2 linked regions of the Schizosaccharomyces pombe genome follow. The gene in region 1 interacts genetically with each later gene. Each region holds a gene or a part of one and is shown on either strand. Other genes may lie near its edges.

Evidence for each region. Genes that interact genetically often act in the same process or in processes that back each other up.
Region 2: of dph3 (region 1) and pcr1, a mutation in one rescues a mutant of the other (synthetic rescue), as found in Schizosaccharomyces pombe (one study listed by BioGRID).

Annotation. Positions count from the first base shown.
Region 1 is NC_003424.3:2,853,488-2,857,671, forward strand, and holds dph3 (diphthamide biosynthesis protein Dph3), read right to left. Parts: upstream 2,208-4,184; 5' UTR 2,176-2,207; coding exon 2,133-2,175; intron 2,091-2,132; coding exon 2,029-2,090; intron 1,970-2,028; coding exon 1,835-1,969; 3' UTR 1,682-1,834; intron 1,604-1,681; 3' UTR 918-1,603; downstream 1-917. Other genes in the region: rpl4102 (60S ribosomal protein eL41), read right to left, coding at 303-309, 362-432; msh3 (DNA mismatch repair protein), read left to right, coding at 2,444-3,940, 3,976-4,184.
Region 2 is NC_003424.3:4,251,642-4,255,233, forward strand, and holds pcr1 (DNA-binding transcription factor Pcr1), read right to left. Parts: upstream 1,960-3,592; 5' UTR 1,278-1,959; coding exon 762-1,277; 3' UTR 501-761; downstream 1-500. Other genes in the region: L-azetidine-2-carboxylic acid acetyltransferase Aca1, read left to right, coding at 3,219-3,592. UniProt on the Schizosaccharomyces pombe protein: Involved in regulation of gene expression for sexual development. Binds and activates CRE sites (cAMP-response elements, also known as M26 meiotic recombination hotspots).

The DNA of each region.
Region 1 (4,184 bases):
CCGAACCGTTCATAAATGACACTATCCACTAAGTCCCATACTAAAATACTTTATGCTTACAGACGAGATAACACCATTAGGGTATCTATTTAATAATTCGAGAACAAAATAAACATGCTGCAAAACAAACATTACTACTCTTGTACGCATGATAAATATATATATATATAATTGGTTGATAAAGTGAAATTTTATTTGAGTAAATGTTCTGCGTCCTTTGCAAGCCAAATTGAGCTAGTTATTTCAAAGGTATTGCAATTTACTCATTGCTCCTTAGTGAGGGCGCAAATGGATGAGCCTATCTATTTACTATTTCTCAGTTAGCAAAAAATACAAAAAATTTCAGTTATATTAGACTTACGATCTGGCTCTCATCTTTCTTCTTTTACGTTTGAGACGACGCACGCGTTTTTTCCTCCATTTATCACGCATCTTGGCAGTGGTAAAAATGTATTGTAGGCCACATGTTAGATATACGAAAATGTGACTGTTTCTTTGGCTCTGGCATATGAGATAGCGTCGTGCTATATGCAATAACATATTATAAAAAGTTCGTTAATTAAGTTTGCTGTCAGCAATACTACACTACGCTATGATACACTACGTTGAGTATCACTATATGTCACATGTTCTAATTATATATCGTACCATGTATGATACGATATGGAGATTGATCTTAATGATAATCTATTAAGATCAATATTATCTGAATACTATAAATAGAGCTACTGCTGAACCTCGTTCCTCAGTTCAGTTATGAGCTATATTAGTGATAGGTAACATTATAACCCAGTTAATACAATACCTATACTCAGTTGCTACTTATACAACCTGTGTATTGTAATATAATAGATCACAAGGAAAACTCACCGCAGTTCTACGTATCCTTAAATTAGATACCAAACTGCGTAGCTTACATTTGCGTAATGTTTAAATTCCCTTTTAAGCTTCTAAATAAATTTGAGATTCCACTGTGGTATGTCGCACTAAAGCTGGAATGATATTGCTTTATAAGTAAATTGATGGAAATACTGTTAAGTAGCTGGCTTTTAGTTCAACTGATAAGTTTCAAATGCTTTAGCAATGAAATTTCAAAATTCTGTGGAATTGATCGCAACTTGGACTTCAATACGTACTTACGTTGAGCACAAGTACGAATTCATTTTAATTCCACAATCTTGAAACGAAGAATAAATTGAATAGCATTTATCCATTATTTGTAATAATGAAAACGTTTTTTTGAAAGAATAAGTTATAAAGCTATTTTATAAACTTAAACTCGTTTCGTAAAGTGTTTTAAAATTATGCGTTGTTAAAACATACGCAGAAATGCAATAATTTATCACTTAACAAAAATAGCTAAAGGTGGGCTTTTAGTTTCGAGTAAAGATTGTTATTTCCTAATGAAGTTCTCTTTAAATTTTCTTCCATTCTTCCCTTAATGTTTTGCAGAGGCGTTGTTCATTTTAATTTTGAAGAAAGAAAGTTACCGTTGAGGTGCGCATGCTTACGGAAGCTAGTGGTAATAGAAATTATTTTATAAGTAAACTGTATTATATGGGCAAAATAATCTTTGGAAAAGTCGTACGCTCAAAAAACTTGCCTAAAGTGTTGTTAAAAACTTACAAATTCAACTAAAAAGATACAGTTTAATTATTAATAGAATGAACAACAAACGTACTATGCCAATACAAAACCAGTGATCTGAGAAAACTAAACAAATAAATTTTGAGGATATCACGATGTAAAGAGTAGCCCTCCTATCCTTCGTAATTTCAAGACATTTTGAGAATAAATAGAAGTAAAAAACCAAATAAGAAATTATAGGGAAAAATTATGCTGCAATGATTATAGGTGCTGTAGAAGCATCGTTATCAACTTCCATGAATTCATCTTCATCATAGATCACCCGGACAATCAAGCTGCAGCTTGGGCAACGAGCAACATCTTCCCCTAATTGAAGATCTTCCTAAATAATGAATTAGTATAAACTTCCAAAATATTAAGAAATTGCGTATCAATACATACCAAAGATATCTCGAAGCGATCCCCACAAGGACAGGGAAAAGTGTACAAGTTCGTACCGGCGTCTTTTAATTAGCAAAAGTATTCAACTTTTAACAAATACATACCAAACGTGAAATCTTCTAACTCGATTTCGTCGTAAAATGACATTTTGCCGCTTCAATGCACTACTGGCAGAAGGTGCGTGGCCACTCCACCAAAAATTTGTTTTATATGTGGGAACCGCCCATAATGAAAACTACAAGCTAAGTTTAACATAAATGGAATCTACTGTAATTTAGAGGAGAACGATACTTACTTGTTACCGTTTTGTTGTATTTTTTAAAACGTCCGCCTATATTCATTTAGAAACTATAAATGCGTTACAAATCTATGTTGAGCAAATTTGATTGTACAGTTTTTATTTTCGCTTTATTACATGAGAGGAATGAGTTATAACATTACTCATGAATGCGACGCTATTAATATTCTATCAGATAATTTACATGAAGGAGCAATATCAGAAGATATGGTTGCCCTCAGTGGTCCAGCCATAGAGTTACTAGAAAATAATGTTGGTAGTTCAAAAAATAGCTATCAAGAAGATGAGGGAAGTTCTTCGATTGATGAGAACGCGCCTCTTATAAGCATAAAACGAAAGAGGAGAATTCGTACGGTTAAATCTACTTCAAATAAAGAATTAGTGCAAAGAAAAGCATCGAAACCTACTAAACAGAAATCTGTTTTCACACCACTTGAGCAGCAATACTTAGAATTGAAGAAAAATTATCAAGAAACTATTTTGGCAATTGAAGTAGGATATAAGTTCCGATTTTTTGGGAAGGATGCAAAAATAGCCTCTGAGGTGTTAGGAATTAGTTGCTATTTTGAGCACAATTTTTTAAATGCTAGTGTTCCCTCGTATCGTATTGACTATCACTTGGAAAGACTCATTAATTTTGGTCTCAAAGTTGCTGTTGTTCGACAAACTGAAACAGCCGCTCTCAAGTCAACTAGCTCTAGCAGAAACACTCTGTTTGACAGACGAGTTGCTCGCGTGCTTACCAAGGGGACTACTCTAGATGATAGCTTTTTTCGCTTTGAGCAAACACAGCATGGTACACTACAAGCTTCCCAATTTATCCTATGTGTTGCAGATAATGTTGATAAGAGCAAAGCAAAATCAGGAAGAGTTCAGGTTGGACTAATTGCCATACAATTATCATCTGGAACTACTGTTTATGATCATTTTCAAGATGATTTTTTGAGAAGCGAATTACAAACAAGACTTTCTCATTTTCAACCTTGTGAATTGATATATTCGAACAAGTTATCTTCCGAATCGGTTGCCCTACTGAATCATTACGTATCAACTGAAAAAACTTGCGGTAGAGTAGTGCGTGTGCAACATGCTGTTCAGCAGGACGTGAAACTAGCATTGGAGAATTTGCAGGACTTCTTTTCTTCTAAATGCATCATGTCCGGTAGCAAAATTATAGAATTACACATGGAAAAGGTGAAGTCTTTACATTCTCTTTCAATCATTTGTTTGGACATGGCCATTTCTTATTTGATGGAATTCTCATTGGAAGATCTATTCGTTGCTTCAAACTTTTATCAACCTTTTGATAGCATTTCTTCTATGGTTTTAAGTAAACAGGCTTTGGAAGGTCTTGAGCTTTTCGTTAATCAAACAGATCATACACCTGTTGGTAGCCTATTTTGGGTGTTAGATCGCACATACACAAGATTTGGACAAAGGATGCTTCAGAGATGGCTTCAAAAGCCTTTGGTTGATAAAGAAAATATAATCGAGCGTCTGGACGCGGTTGAGGAATTAGCCTTTAATTCTAATAGTCAAGTTCAAGCAATTCGTAAAATGCTGTATAGATTGCCCGATCTCGAAAAGGGTCTGTCCAGAATCTACTATCAAAGGGTAAGTTATTTTTCTGTTTCATTTTCTTACAGTAGTGCACTCCGTCTGAAATGTTCCATGTTTTGAAGGGTTTTTATAAAGCCGCATCTGCTTTCTCGAAAAATTCATACTCTTGTTTTAAGTCAGCATTGCTTAGAAGACTAATTCAACAGCTTCCTAGCATATCGTCTATCATTGATCATTTCTTGGGAATGTTTGATCAAAAAGAAGCTGAAAATAACAACAAGGTTGACATGTTCAAGGA
Region 2 (3,592 bases), 1.4 Mb from region 1:
CTGTTGAGAGCAGTAGAAATGGAACAGATTGGATAAATGAGATAAATTGTAATAACGTGAATATTTATTTATTTACATAATGAATGCAGTTGGGAAATTAAAGAAAGTGATGCTTTAACGCAGACACTTCTTTTGCATCATGATACACGGATTGTGGTATAAATAACTGAAAGAAAAAAAGAGACATTCTACTGTTTACAAATAAAATCAACAGCATACCACAGTTGCTCCAACCAGAGCTTTTTAAAAAAAAAAACCAAATTAATAGCTTAAGATCTTTTTTTCAGTTTGCCAAATGAAATTATAAATCTGTACATTTAGAAAGAAGAACATTTTTTATGTTTTAGGTAACTGACGAGAATAGGCAATCTGGCAATAGTTCAAGAAATCAAATCAAATACATCGAAGAAGTAAGTGGAGATGTAGCAAGCGCAAAGTCATACTTCAAAGAAGTTTATAAGCATCGTAAAGTTATTTTCTTTTCACATTTCATAAAGACAAATATTTTGAAAACCCGGCGAGGAAATTCGAAATAATAATAGATAAAGGTCATAACAAAGAAAACGTCTGTGCAAAAAAATAATAAGGACAGAAATTTGAAAAGAATTCCATATGCATCGGTAATTCAACACTTAAAAACGCCCGACTGTCATCTAGGAGAGAACATTAGGCTAAAATAGGAGCCATAAATCTACATGCAACATCACATTAAAATCAATTGCTTTATTGTAAAGGGGGGTAATGAAAACAAATGTTCTTTTTCAGATGGGCCCACCAAGGGATCTAGGAAGCCCGGCTGCTGAGAACATATGTTGCTGGACATCATCGGAATTAGGCTGCTGAGAAGAAGGGGGCATTTGAGGGTGTTGATTTGGAGGGAGACCCTGCAATGATGGATGCATTTGAGTAGGGCTAACGGAAACCACAGATTCAAGCATGTTATCACCAGGAGGGGGTTGTACCGGCCGGTAAGCCATATGTTGAGAGTGGAGAGCATTGTGAGCAGTTTGAAAGTCTGTTAGGACAGAACGAATCTTTACACTACACTGACAACCCTGATGGGCAAGTAATTGGCTTTTCAGCCGAAAAGCCTCCTGTTGCAACTGAGACAGCAATAACTGAAGACGCTTGGATTGCTCAAAGGCAGCATTGGCAGTTTGCTCTAATTCTTTAATCCACTCTTTCTTTTTCTGGCGAAATTTAGAAGCGGCAATGCGATTGCGCTCCAGAATTCGGCGACGCTTTTCATCATCAACTTCTTTTTTTTTGGCAGTCATCTTAAATAATCAATGTATAGAAAAGGGGGAATCAGATGATCACAAACAAAAATATAACAAAGGAAACAAAGGGGGAGATGGGAAATTGAAATGAAAAAAAAAGTAAGAACGAAAAAAGAAATACCCTAAAGGATATATTTTAATTTAAAGGAAACTCCTACTTGGTGAATACAACACGCAGTAAAGAATTAGCACGACACACGCGCGAAATCAGGAGGAAGCAAATTAGACGGAGATAGCCAGTTTCTAAAGGAATACAGAAGAATGACAAGACGTCAAGAAACGTCAATTCTATAGAAGCGCTAGTCTTCTAAGATTAAAAACACACACGTGGGGGAATTAATTCGTAAGTAAACCGACCCCTAAAATTTTTTGTAATCTCACGACACACGTCAAATGTACAGCGCACACGTTGACCCAAAATTAACTAACAAAGGAGATCCCAAACGACTTCAATAAATACGTTGATATGTTATACTCTCTGAAAAGTTATACAAACACTTGATTTGCAAGGATGTCTCACCAAACTACCAAATTAACTGTTTAATGACCCAGAAAAAGCGAATCCACTGTGAAAACCGAATAAATTAAGAAAATTTAGTATTTAAAAATCAAATTTTAACAACTCTGTAGAATGAAAGGATTTTACCCTTTTACAATGGTATAAGCTACAATGGACCATAGACGGAAGTGGTCAAAGAGATGATTATATAGGATGATCAATGCTCGATGCATGATGTCATCGACAAGGAGGCTGTAATTATATCGATAAACAGAATAACGAGAGTTAGTGAAATTTAATACATGGCCGATTTTGATGTAAATAAAGGTTAGTGGACTTGCGAAGAAAGACAGACACAATTGAGAAAATAAAAAGAAAAATATTTTAAAAAAAAGAAACAATACTAAAGAAAATTGACTTGCAAATGAATTGTGAGAGACGTGGATACAAAAGACGAAAAAGCATCGGTGAATTTAAAAGAACCAAAAATGAGGCGAACAATTTTAATTTGGTTGATGGAAATGAATCATTTGATTAAAAGTGAAAATTTTTAAATTATTTTAGAAATGTAAATATTTTATCCTTGTGCGAACGTAAAATTGGTAAAATAAATTTTAAAGATTTTAAATAATTAAAAAACTCTAGCAAAAATATAGTCAATTCCAAAGTAACTGCATTTTAATTCGTTTTATTATTAAAACAGGAGGTTCAGGTACTGCACTTAATATAAATATATTAATTGAATTGTGTTTTTTTGGAATTTGTATAATTAATTATTTTCCAATACCACTAACCTAAAAATTTCGCATCTTCACTTTATACTGTACTTCATTATTTTTATTATCATCTCACATGTATTCTTCACTATTTAATAAACAATAAAAGAATATGAGAAATTGCAATGAGTGAATAAAGAAAAGACAATTAATATCGGATTCTTCATTCGTTAACAAGGAAGAAAGACTTAATCTATAGCACCGAAATATTAAACCGTTTCCATTAGCTTGATGTAGAAGTCGATCTAATGTTTCGCAAACCGAAAATACACAGACATGAATATGTACAAGCATTAACCAAGCATACAGAAAATCGAAAATCATCTAATACATGAATAATGAGAGCTTTATTACTTCGTCTCGCTTTCATATTCTAAAATACTTAATTATTTGCTTCTAACAAATAACGCTTTTTACCGTACTCTAGGAATTACTTGCAACAGATTTCTTCCTTGCATATTTTTAATCATTTGATTTATCTCTTCGACTTGATGATTTTATCACATTATTTCTGTATATCATACAGTTGTTTCCTGTTGTATATCAAGATGGCATCTTGATGAGTTTGAGTGATGATAATTTATCTATGTGTTTGTCGCTTAAATTATCTACTCCACATGGCTATAAAATCCCTTTAATTTTGTTCATAATCCATATCCCAACATGAAGGATCCAAATACTATTCCTCCATGGAGATGTACTGATTTTAATGCTTGGTGCATAGCCGTTGATAAATCTACAAACGTTAAGAACAAAGAAGAATTACTCAGTACCTTGACTTATTTCATCAACTATGAAATAGAGATGGGACAGACTTATCCAATCGACATTAAAATGACTCGCAATGAAGCGGAAGACTTTTTTTTTAAATTTTGTACTGTAATCTGTGTTCCTGTTGAGAGTGAGACATCACCTGCTCCAGATTTGGCTACGGCTTCAATTGACTGGAAAACGAGCTTACTCGGTGCCTTCTACATTAAGCCTAACTATCCCGGTCGATGCTCTCATATTTGTAATGGTGGATTTTTGGTTTCACC